2 linked regions of the Drosophila melanogaster genome follow. The protein of the gene in region 1 interacts with the protein of each later gene in a pairwise test. Each region holds a gene or a part of one and is shown on either strand. Other genes may lie near its edges.

The links.
Region 2: the proteins of TwdlJ (region 1) and CG5386 interact in a two-hybrid assay, tested with the Drosophila melanogaster proteins (one large-scale study listed by BioGRID).

What each region holds. Positions count from the first base shown.
Region 1 is NT_033777.3:26,626,180-26,633,579, reverse strand, and holds TwdlJ (TweedleJ), read right to left. Parts: upstream 3,663-7,400; 5' UTR 3,625-3,662; coding exon 2,800-3,624; 3' UTR 2,755-2,799; downstream 1-2,754. Other genes in the region: TwdlN (TweedleN), read right to left, coding at 720-1,649; TwdlK (TweedleK), read left to right, coding at 4,873-5,616; TwdlO (TweedleO), read left to right, coding at 6,883-7,400.
Region 2 is NT_033777.3:22,338,597-22,344,280, forward strand, and holds CG5386 (uncharacterized protein), read right to left. Parts: upstream 3,656-5,684; 5' UTR 3,619-3,655; coding exon 3,533-3,618; intron 3,442-3,532; coding exon 2,944-3,441; intron 2,875-2,943; coding exon 2,694-2,874; 3' UTR 2,640-2,693; downstream 1-2,639.

The sequences.
Region 1 (7,400 bases):
GTTTGGCCAATTCCCAATTCGCTTTTTTGTCACCGTTTCTTTTTCTGCTGTTATCTATTAACTTTGGAGTTGGCTTCTTTCGATTTTGGTTTTCAGCTTAGTCATTGTGGTGCTGAGCATAATTTTTATGATTTTTCTACAACAAACTTTAGCCACTTTTCTGCTTATGCTAATCGAGCGTATAGTGGGTGCTCTTGAAAAGATCTGTCGCTGACCACTTTGGCTCTTTGTTATTGGCCATTCATCCGGCCACTCATGTTATCACTCATACATTATGTATGCCGTCTTGGTTCCGTCTTGCAGTTGCCATAAATTTGAGCGCTAATAGTTTGTCTAACCTTTTACTTCACGCAGATTAACATTTTAATTATGATAAAAAATTTTCGTCGATTGTTTTTTTTTCTCTCTGCATCCCAAAACATGTAAATTTTTATTGATTTCCACTTGTATTCCATTTGGCGCCATCGCTTTGGAATTTTTATTGCCACTCCGGGCGTGTAATAAACGCCGAGCTTTGCAATTTCTCACTCTGCCCCGCAGTGAGTGGCTCAATCGTCAAAAATTCCCGACAGCTTTATGGTTAGCTCAGTTCCCACACACAGGACAGAAATAGCCCGATCATTAATTTAAAAAAGTATTGTATTGGAGCGGTTCGTTCGACAAATCAATAGATAACACAAAAAGTCAACAAATAGGGCAGCTGAAAGCTATGGCACTTCCTAGTGGCGGTAACGCAGACGACGCAGCACCGACGAGGGCAGGTACGAGTTCTCGGGGATCTGGGCGGTGGCCTGACGCACTGGGCCAGCGGAGGCGAAGTTCAGAGCGTTGGCAACTCCGCCGTTGATAGCCTGAGAGGATCCTCCCAATTGGTCGTACTGCGACTGGATGGCGCGCTGGGCGTTGGCAGCATCCTCGGGAGTGCGGTACTTGACGAAGTGCACCTCGGGCTTGTTGTTGGAGTTGCTGCGGATGGCGTTCAGTTTCTGGGCAAGATCTCCAATATCGGCCTGCTTGTTCAGGACATAGATGGCGGTCTCCTGCTGGGCAGCCTGCTTGGCGAGGGCAAGGGCGGCGTTCTCCAGACCACGGTTCTCGGGTCCCTTGATGAAGACGACACGCAGACCCTTGTTCACGGAGCTGGCAACGCGTTCCAATGCTTGGGGCTCATCGAAGTCCTCCTCGTTAGCGGTGTAGGTGAAGAACTCCTTCTGGAGCTCAGCAGCAGGGGCGGGGGCATTGTAGGAGACGGGGGCGCTCAGTCCAGCGGATCCCAGACCAGATCCCAAGCCGGAGGAGCCCAGGCCAGATCCAAGACCAGATGATCCCAATCCAGATCCAAGACCGGAGGAACCCAGGCCGGAGGATCCCAGATCGATGGAGCCACCGCCAAGACCGCCAAAGCCGCCGTCCAAGCTGCCGAAGTTGCTGCCGCCTCCCAGGCCGAGGGATCCACTGGCTCCTCCCAGATCCAAGGATCCGCTGCTGCCACCCAGGCCCAAGGATCCACCGCCGCCTCCCAGGCTGAGGGATCCGCTGCCAGGAGCGAAGGAGAGTCCGGAGCTGGAGTGGCCCACGGGCTTGTAGTTGTAGCCGAGCTTGTCGGCGGAGGCGATGGCCACCAGGCACAGGACGACGAAGGCGCGCATCTTGCTGTTAACTGATTGCTGTTCTAGTTGGAGCTCCGGAGTCGGAAGTCAGAATGATGTCGAGCTGAGCCGCCGGGCCATTTATATGGCCTGGCCGACACGGCAGGGGCGTCAATCAGAACAGGCGAATGACAGCGTGCTGGAGATCGCGATAAGGTTCGCATTGTCTGCGAGCCTAACCTGTTTTTCTGTTTTTCTTTTTCCACTTGGCGGCTTTGGCCCAAGCTCGATTTGGTCTAGACCTATTGGCAGAAGCTAAAGCAAAAGCAGAAGCTGTGGCGTTGGCGGCGGCGTTGATTAAATTTTGATGAACTTGCAGCTTACGGAAAAACAAAATTTTTATGTAAATCAGGCGACAAAGGGCTGGGCGGTAGCGGCTCCAAGCTCCAAATTGTCTGACTATGCAGTAGCCGCATTCTTTTGTTCGCCCATTTTGTTATGCAAATCGAGCTGGGGATGATTGAAAGTAAGACTCTGGCCCTCCGCTTTTGGGCTAATTTCCCAGCTTAATAATTTTAAATTGCCCGCCCCAATGGATTTTCGGCATTTGACCATTGTCGTCTGTCGCCCGATGTCTCGTGCAATTTGTCAAACCGAGTGCCATCTCAATTTCGAACCGCGAAGTGCGTAGGTAGGCATGGGCAGCCAAGTAGCCGATAAGCCATATGTTATACACCAGATTATACAGATTAACACGAAGCAGATTATTCAAAGCGATGCCAGAGAAAACATCTTAGGTTTCCGCTCATTTGCAATTTTCACAAACAGCTTAGCCGGACGGACTCATAATTCAACGCAAGTCGAACTTGTTTGCCAGCCGCCGAGTGCGAAAATGTTGTGCCTCGGAAATTTAATTCTGGCTGATAATATGCCTAGGAATGTTGGCCGCGAAGATCCGCAAGCCAACCTAATAATTTACATTTTAAAACAATTTTATTAGGTCTTCAAATCTAAACAATAGCACAAGAATGTCGGGAATTTCAGGAGCATCCAGACTATCTTATTACGTATTTTTAATCCTCAAAATAGCTGATTATACCATTTATATCAATAGCTCTCAAAAAGAGTAACAACAACTTAAAAATTTATATTATTAAACAAATTTATTTCGTATTATAATCTCAACAATAACAAAGGAAATGCCAGGAACTTAGAAACGCAGGCGGCGCAGGATGTTGGCGGGCAAGTAGGAGCTACCTGGGGTGGCAGGTGGCACATACGAGGAGATGGGTGCAGTAGCCTCGGGCTGGGAGGCGGGCAGGAACTGGGCGGGCGCTTGGCTGCTGGCAGCCTGAACAGGAGCGGGCTGGGAAGCGAAGTTCAGGGTGGATGCCACTCCACCATCTTGAGCTTGCGAAGATCCTCCCAACTGATCGTACTGACCCTGAATTGCACTCTGGGCGTTGGCAGCATCCTCGGGAGTGCGGTACTTGACGAAGTGCACCTCGGGCTTGTTGTTGTTGTTGTTGCGGATGGAGTTCAGCTTGTTGGCCAGATCTCCAATGTCAGCCTGCTTGTTCAGGACATAGATGGCGGTCTCCTGCTGGGCAGCCTGCTTGGCCAGAGCCAGAGCGGCATCCTCCAGACCGCGGTTCTCGGGTCCCTTGATGAAGACCACGCGGAGTCCCTTGTTCACGGCGTTGGCAACACGGTCGGAGGCAGCTGGGTCGTAGAAGTCACCCTCGTCGGCGGTGTAAGTGAAGAACTCCTTTTCGAGTTGGGCCTGAGGAGCAGCGTAGTTGGGGGCAGCAGCGGATTGAGATCCTTCCAGGGCATCAGCAATGGATGAGGGACCGGGGCCAAAGGATTCACTGGGTGCAGGCGCGAAAGCGGGTGCATCGCTACTGGCCGATCCAGATGGCTGGAAGCTCAATCCGGAGGGAGAGTGGGCCACCGGTTGGTAATTGTAGCCGAGTTTATCGGCTCTGGCCAAAACGGCGAGGCACAGGCAAAGAACTACGGAGAACTGACGCATGTTGAGCGGGTGAGGTGGTTGTGGGATTTGATGATGGTGTGAGATGGTTCTTTCGCTTTTATGCAGATGAAAGCCACTGCTATGCAAAACGCTCTGCATAAAGCGGTCTAATTACGGTCTTAGCCAACTAGATCAGGCAGTACCGGTACCACCCCGCTAAAATATGCAAGCGAAGCGGGTGGCTGCATCATGAGGTCAACGTAGAAACTCAGAAGGAAGAGGTACGGGCCATGTATGAGCCGGAGCTGGCGCCATAAAATTCATATTAAATTCAATATGCTGCCTTAATCAATAATTCGCGTATTCTTCGGCGCCGCTTTTGGCCAGTGTTGTGGGCCAACCTTGCCATTTTGGTATTTTCATGTAGCTTTATCGTTGAAATCAATAAAATCTGGCTATAAAAAGCCGCGGACAGAGCATCAAGAGCATCGTAAACCTCATTTGGGGCTATTTAGATGGATGCCTTGTTACTCATGTATCACATGTGTATCACAAATCCAAACCCATTCCCAGTTCGCCCGGGATGAGAAGTGTCACCTAAATCGGCCGGAGAGCAAACAAAACGTTTGACAGGCCGTTTCACATGCAAATGAGGCGCGCCTAGTCGCGTTACCGCTGCCAAAAATAAATATTTTAACGATTCGCCAAATTATTATTGCCTTATTCAGCGGCTTTGTCTTGTCGTCTTGGTCGCTGTGTTTAGCTGCTTTATGCTAATGTTGCGGGTGGAGGCGACCTTCCATCCGCCGGAAGTGAAGAATCGAACTCATCGCTAAATATAGCAGCCATCTTTACTTAATATATATACATGGTTTCTGATCGCCTAGGCCGGTTGCCAATTAAAAACTGCACCACTGCGCCTTGTCAGCGCCAAATCAGATAATTCGATAATTGGTCTCTTAATAAATTACTTGGCGCCATCTGATTTGGCAATCCGAGTCGGACTATGAACCTCCTCACTGGCCAATTCTGGTTAGCTCATAATTTGCATGCCGCTTTCCGCAGAGCCAGTAAAAACAAAGCCATGCAAAAATTTGCAACCGCAGCAGCAGTGTGACGAATCATAAAATTATATTATAAATTTAACATTTTAATCTCTTATTTATGCATTTTTAAGGCAAATTTGAGCTGTTCATAATTCATATCGCACCATACTGCAGCCGAAGAACTGAATATTGCACCTATAAAAGCCAAAATTTCGACTCGATAAGTCAGTAACCAATCATCTTTGCCATCCAAACAGTCAACATGCGTTCCTTCGTCGTCCTTTGCTTTATTGCCTTGGCCACGGCCGATAAACTTGGCTACAATTACCAACCGGTGGCCCACTCTCCCTCCGGATTGAGCTTCCAGCCATCTGGATCGGCCAGCAGCGATGCACCCGCTTTCGCGCCTGCTCCTAGTGCATCCTTTGCCCCCGGTCCCTCATCCATTGCTGATGCCCTGGAAGGATCTCAATCTGCTGCTGCTCCCAACTACGCTGCTCCTCAGGCCCAACTCGAGAAGGAATTCTTCACTTACACCGCCGACGAGGGTGACTTCTACGACCCATCTGCTTCCGACCGTGTTGCCAACGCCGTGAACAAGGGACTCCGCGTGGTCTTCATCAAGGGACCCGAGAACAGCGGTCTGGAGGATGCCGCTCTGGCTCTGGCCAAGCAGGCTGCCCAGCAGGAGACCGCCATCTATGTCCTGAACAAGCAGGCTGATATCGGTGATCTGGCCAACAAGCTGAACTCCATCCGCAACAACAACAACAACAAGCCCGAGGTGCACTTCGTCAAGTACCGCACTCCCGAGGATGCTGCCAACGCCCAGAGTGCCATTCAGGGTCAGTACGATCAGTTGGGAGGATCCAGTCAGTCCCAGAATGGAGGTGTTGCCTCTACCCTGAACTTCGCCTCCCAGCCGGCTCCACGCGAGAGCACCGCTGCCAGTGCTCCAGGACCAAGCTACCTGCCCGCCAACATCTTCCGTCGCTTCCGTGTTTAAGTGCCATTTACAGGATGTTGATTTTGTTGCCTAGTTATCATGTTGTCTTATTCCATAAATAAAAAAAAATAATTGTTGTAATCTGATTTGATTTTTTTGGGCGATTCCGTAAACAGAACACTTAAGACGGATTTTTAGCCGAAACAAATCCAAACAACTTATTGTATTTTACACTTTATTTTCCTACATATATATTCATTAATATATATATATTCATATTTTCATTCATTTGAAAAAAAAAATGTTTTGGATGAAAAAAACTTAAATGCTTATTTTATGAACGCCTCTGAATGAATGACACATGAACACATCAGTTGAACTCCAACTGAAGAAAATTTATAGTTTTCAAAAATAAGGAAAATAAAATTTAACGTTAAAACCCTTCACTTTCATTCGCTTAGCTTAAGATGACAAAACACTATCAAACGATTATTTTGTATGGATTACAGAAAAGTATCAGCAGAACTTTTGATGATGATATCCTTCTATCCAAACACAGCATTTTTCATATTGTTTGATTGCTTGTACGTTCTTCTTCTCCGTTTAAATGAGATTTTAAACTGACTGGACGCAAATATTCTGGCTCTTATATACGGGACTTGTATGGAATTCCCAGACTATTTAAAACAGGTTTGCCCAGAGTTCAAAGCAAGCTTCCGACATTCTTTTTGACTTTGAACCTCAAACTAAAAAGTCACTTCAAATTCTAGACCCACTTTCGATAGCAAAAAAGGCGACAAACAGAAAGCAACAACAAACCATTAACTATCAATGGAGTTCGCATAGATTAAGATTTTATCGTTTCGTAGGCGGAACTCAAAGAATGCATCACATTGTGTTCGACTTTAATGACCATCAGAACATTTTTGGACGGGCTCTGACTTTTTTTTTGGAAACGGGTTTGATAGTTTTGCAGCATTTTCCCCAATCGAATTCCGGGCAGTTTTGCCCCGGTCAAGAATAAATCGCGGCGCCATGAACCGGTCGAGAATTTGGCTTTTGCAATTGGGCAGAAAGTCGGGGGTCGCCGACTGGATGTATTGGCGAGAATTTTAGGATAGTTTGCATAATCATTTCATAAGCGCACCGCTTTGCATAAAAAACTAGTTGAGTTATGTAGCAACCCGACGGGAATGGTGTCGGTTATAGTTCTAAGTCGGTTCTAACTACGCCAGATGGGTATATAAGCTGCTCACCTCAGTCTCAGGATTCAGTCTTGGCCTTTGCCTGTTAAGCACACCCAGCCTACAAAACCAAACCTTCACCATGCGTTTCCTCATCGCTTTCTGCCTGATTGGTGCCGCATGCGCCCAGTACAACTACGGAGCGGGATTTACCGGAGCCGCCTCCGATAATGTTCCCAGTTACTCCGGAAGCAGTGTTGGCGACTCCTACGATGGTGCTGCCAGCAGCCCGGACTACTCGGTCTCCAGCGAACTGAACAAGGAGTACTACACCTTCGAGGCTGACGAGAGCCAGTTCGAGGATCCTCTGGCCGCCCAGAAGATCGCCGGCTCCGTGAACAAGGGACTCCGCGTGGTCTTCATCAAGGGACCCGAAAACCGTGGCCTGGAGAACGCTGCTCTGGCCCTCGCCAAGCAGGCTGCCGAGCAGAGGACCGCCATCTATGTCTTGAACAAGCAGACCGACATTGGAGATCTGGCCCAGAAATTCAATGCCGCCCGCCAGAACTCCAACCAGCGTCCTGAGGTGCACTTCGTCAAGTACAGGACTCCCGAGGATGCGGCCAATGCCCAGCGTGCCATCCAGTCGCAGTACGATAA
Region 2 (5,684 bases), 4.3 Mb from region 1:
AGGTGGGGCGAGGTTGGGTCACATATTGTGGACCGCCCGTTGACAGCGATAAATCAGCAGGTGTAATGAGTCAAAGTTATCGTTATGCATGGATCATTAATCACACACGCATAACAAATTAAGAGTACATTATTCCAATGCCACACAAACACGCACACACTCTCTCTCTCTCTTCAGTTGTTGTCATTGTGTGCGTGAACTATATATTGCTGCATACTTTCAGGCATTTCAGTTGACCATTTTGGCAAGTGTGTCCTAGGGTTTGGGTGGATTCGCGCTGACCACTACATCATTCAAAAGCATAATAGGATTGAGATGACCAATGTCAATGACTATGACCAATGACTATTAGCACCTACAGATAAAAGTCATCTGTAAGCTTTTAGTAATGAGCTTTATATAATAGGAGCGTTTGTGATCCTCTACAATAAAAGGGCTAGTTCGCGATCCCCCAAAAATAGCTTTTCTTTATATTAGACACCCGGACTTGGAACATTCTTGCAGCATCTCTCTATTTACCCGCTCGCTAATTGTGAATGCCAATCAGGACAGTGCCAGGACCCAGCTGACAAGACAAAGCCAACTGTCTCCGAGCTGTGCTGAGTGCTGGGGCACTGCCATTGGGCTTGTGTATAGGATTGGGTCTGAAAGTGGGATTTGAAGCTGGAATGGGTTGTCTGGAACTGCAAATGGGCCAAAAAGCTGAAGAGCCGGGCTGAGTTCAGCTGGCTGATTGCTCCAATTGCCAGGCGACCGGGCACGCACGGCTGCCTCATACAAACTTGCAACTAAACAGGACTCTGCTACGGGACTACAGGATTCGCTTGGCAGTGGCTGTAGCAGCAGCAGTAACAACAACAACAACAATCGCTTCTGTCAACGCACAAAAGACAGCGCTGACGTAACGAAACGGTTAATTTAGAGTACGACAACGACAACAAACGAAGGCAGTTCAAAAGCCGTCAGCGCGAGATGAGATTAGGTTGCAGATGGGCACAAAGAGAACAACACGGAGCCGAAGCAGCAGCAACAGCACTGGAAAAAATGTAGTGAGACAAAACTACAACAAGCCCGAAAAAAAATGTCCACGCAAAAGCAACTGAAACTGGAGAACTTAATCCAATAGAAAAACGCATTTGAACTGAGAACTTTCTATTGCATTTTAAATCTTACTTTTGAAGTTTCTTTCAGTGTAATAGCGGCAACAACAGCATCATCAGCTTTATGCCATTTGCATAGGGGCGTGTACGAAGTCCGGGATCTGCAATTACAAAGCACCAGCTCGAGATTGGAATGAAGGCTGGCTTGGAATGGAATGGGTATGGTATGGAATGGTATGGGATGGGGTTAGATTTCACGAAGAGATGGGGAAACACTGGATGGGGCTCGAGACTCTAGTCATATAAAACATTTTTTAGTGCGCTCATGCTGGCGAATGTTTAGAATTTAATTAGCCACGCTCCCTGATTATGCGCGCATGAAATTAGAGCCTTCGAATGGAGCTCTATAAAGTGTGTACCAAAGTGCCGATGACAACAAAGGAGTCATCCGTATGCCAGTTTACTCACATCTGCAAGACGTCAGAGGGTCGGAGTCACAACCACATCCAATTCAATTTCAGTTTTGACTGCCAGGACCTACTGCGAACTTCAGATTTGGAAGACTTACTTTGATATTAACAAATACACATTTTTAAACCAGATATGTATGCTGAGAACAATTTTCGACTTCTAGCGAATAGATTGCTGGGTAACTTTCTTTGAGAGTATATGTCCTATTTTAGTAAGTATATTAAAATTTTAGTTAGACACCAAAAGCGTCCCTTCAGTTTACCCGCCACTCTTATTGTTTCGATACCAAGGAATGTCCCAAAGATCTTCCTTTAGATTATAGACCTGCTTTTGAGCCCATCCCCCAACTATTCCGGTCATCAACTTCTTGCGGCTTCGTTGAGTTGACAGGACAAACAATGGGCGACACTTCAGCACTTTCATTTTTCCCGCTCAAACACTTGCGAAAAACACTCCGCCGCAGACTCAACGCTCCGCCACACATACATTTTGCGGATTTTTATTTATTATTTTGCTTCTTTTCTGCGGTGGTGCTGTTGGTGTCGGTGGTGCAGCTCACTCACACAGACGCCCCACAATTTGCGAGTCGCACTCAACGTGAAGTGTTTTGTGCGGTTTTTTCGTGTTGCATGTTTTATATTCGTACACATATATTTTTAGAAATTGTTTTTAGTTGAATGTTTTACTTTTATGCTGAGTTCGGTGACAGCTCGAAACGAGTCCTGGTGGGCGGAGGTCCTGCTAGGCCGGAGCAGGCACGCTGACAAATAAGTCTCATACGTATTGTTCGAGTTCTTTCTGGGCTTTGGGAGATTGGAAGCCAAATCTGGTTACGGATTAGAAAAAAAAATTCTAGAAAAATCTAGAATCTGTTACATCTGTTTATTCAAGGTTATTCAAAATCCTCGAATTTAATAAAGATATTTTCAAAAAAGCCAGTTCACTTTTTTTGCAGTAACTGACACAGCTGCTGCTCTCACATGAATGAATATTGAGTACACACACACACATGTGCACGGCAACCAATACACCCATGCGATCGGCCGCCCCAAAAGTATGCAACACTTTGCCCGACTCTCTATGCGCATCTTTATTAATTATGCCAGCGATTTAATTAAAAACTTAACCAGCTGTCGCCTTGAGCGCCGCAGCACTGAGCAAGGGGATCGTCTCCTGGCCACCCGAAGGAGGCGGACATAGCGCGGGGGGCGTGGCTTTGGGGCTGGCAGGAGCGGCAACTTCCGACGGATTCCTGCCGAGTTGGCAACTTGCTGGCGCTGCAGTTGCCGCAGATGGGTATGGGCTAATTAAAATGCATTGTTTAATGCAAATAATGGATTATATAAGTTGGTAGTTTTCAGTGTTTACTTACGGCGGGTGGCTCTCGACTCGTGGCGCCCAAACGGCTGCAGCTGCGGCTGGCGGCGCCTTAACGACTTTTGGCCCGACTCCTCCATATTGTTGTGCCGTCTGAATTGGCTTTGGCTGGAGACGCAGTTGCTGGCCTGGTTGTTCAGGTTGCACATTGACGCCATTGAACCCGGCCAATATTTGAGGTGGTTGACCCGCGGCGTTTTCATAAACAAAAAAGTGTTGCCCCTGTTCCTGTTGCGGTTGATTTGTGGCCTGTTGTTGCTGCCATTTTGGTTGCTGTTGTTGGTAGTGTTGCTGCTGCTGCTGCCGTGGCTGCTGATGTTTCTGCTGCTGCTGTGGCTGCTGCCAATTTGGCACAGTTTGGCCCAGTAACTCGTGCAACAATGGCGCCAACGCTTCGCTGCCCGTGATTTGTTGCAGATGCTGCTGGAGCGCGGCTTCCTCAATCTTCTGTCCCTCCGCCCGATTGATGCTCAGGATGCCGGTGTTGTGGTGCCTGTAAGCAAATAGTTTGCTCAATAGATTGACCCGCTAACCACCACCCACACACTGGGCGAGATTCATTCCAGCACATTCACACGACCTACTTTGTCAGCGGCTGTGCAAATGTTTGCGAAACAACTCCCAAACAAACCAGCGGCAAGTGGAGCAGAACGAGCCAATTTGGATACATATTTAAAGACTTATTAGTGCCAGAGACCTTCCACTCGAAACTCTCGGTGAGAACTAACTCCGGCTAACTAACTTCACACATCAAATATTCTCCGATGCCATGGATTCTAATTGGGAGATGCTTGCTTTTGCCTAGGCATTCGATTAGGTTTCTTGTTTTCGGGCATTAATTATTTCGAAGCTAATTATACATGCACATTAATATGCAAATATTATGAAGTGTGAACATTTTGATGTGCCCCATTGGTTTCGGTATGATAATTACCAGTTCGGCTTTACAGATCCAACTGGAGGCCCGACAGCGGTTCTCGATTGAGTGGATCTCAATTAGCCGGCTACAAAAAATATGACTAGCTAATTGGCTTAATCAAATAGTAAAAATAAGCTAATAGAAACTAAATAGTAACGTTATACCTCTCTTAAATTGATTAGAATACATTTATTCATCTAAATAGTTTACTTCTTATTGGTAAAGTTTAATATTTTAGCTTTAATAAGAAATATGTTTTTTATAATAAGCTGCCTTTCAGCTGCTGTAAATGCCTCCATAAGTTATATGATTATGTGCTTTCAACAAAAAGGGCTCTTAAACTCAAATCCATAAAACTACGCTTCTCAAACTGTTGCATTAACATACGAGCCATTTCAAAGAGGTGGCCATAAATCCAAGCTAAAATGTCAACCGTCTGGCAGTGACTGTCAAACTGTAAAGTGGCCCTTGGCTTCAGCTCCCATTTTCCGCTCTCCGTGGATGTGTGGCAAAATGTTTTTCCATTAAATTACAATTCCCCTTCTCGGAAAATACCCCCTCCCCTCTACCCCCTCATCATCGGCGGCCTTCGTCGACCAGCAAAGTCATGAAATTTAGTGTTGGCGGCATAATTAGACCATCAATTGCGGAAAACTCATGACAGTCATGAATGGCCGACTGTGTGCATGTGCCTGTGTTGGTGGGCCAAAACCACATGGGCGGGGGGCGTGGCCAGGGGCCTAGGCACACTCTGGAATAAAGTAATATGTGCTCCAAGCATAAACTCATCAGAGTCGGAAAAGCTGACAGAGATGAGAGGACGGCAACAGCAACAAGAGCAGCGCCAACATTACACAGTAAAAAGCAACTTAATTAAAATATCAGTTGAACATCATAATAAACAAGATAGTTTCTATCGAAATATTTGATATATTAAAACCTAAGTAGATGATCAAATGCGAGTTCATAGAATAGAGTAGTAGTATAAACTATTACATACAATTTGAATATTTATTCCAGTGAAGCAATGGCAGCCACAAAGGGCGGCCTGAATTTCAACGATGGACGGGACTGTTGCACACAGAGGCAACAACAACTGGCTGGACTTCAGCAACGATGGCCACAATAAAGTCGGAATGTAAAGCACAAATGCTACTTTGGTTGCTCATAAATATTCACTGGAATGTATTCGTCCTCCTCCGCATTTAGCCGTTGTCCTTGTGGCTTCGCTTTCATTTTCCACCGCTTTTCGGCCGAAAGGCGCAAAAGTGTGAAATGGCCGAGTACGAGAGTGTTCATATATATATATATTTTCTATTTTTATGACGATTTTTCGGTGACTGTTTTAGCCAGCCGAGTGTGAAAGTTAAGCACATAAATTACAGGCGAGCGCCGCCATAGGAATTAAAAGCACCGTGCACAGTGGCCGAAAAACCAGAAAACACTTAAAATATGGCAACAACCGCTCACCCGGGAATCCACCTCTTTGCAGCCACACAGCAGAGGGAAGAAAAACGGGTTCAAACGAATAGTTTGAACTTCTTTAAAGATTCTAATCCAATTTAACAATTTATGCAATATATACTCATTTAGACTTTTAATCTTTGATTGACACTGAGTATGTACGTTCTGTATAACTTAAAATATATTAAACAAAATTCACTTTCGCAGCTCCTATCCTGTCAAACCCAACTGTTTGCATGTGTGTGAAGTGCGGCTCGTTGGCGCTTTTTAGTAAAATTACACGCTCTAATCCACAACTTTTGAGTGGGCCCACACCACCGAAAAGTGTGGAAAAAAAAGGGGCCAGAATCCAG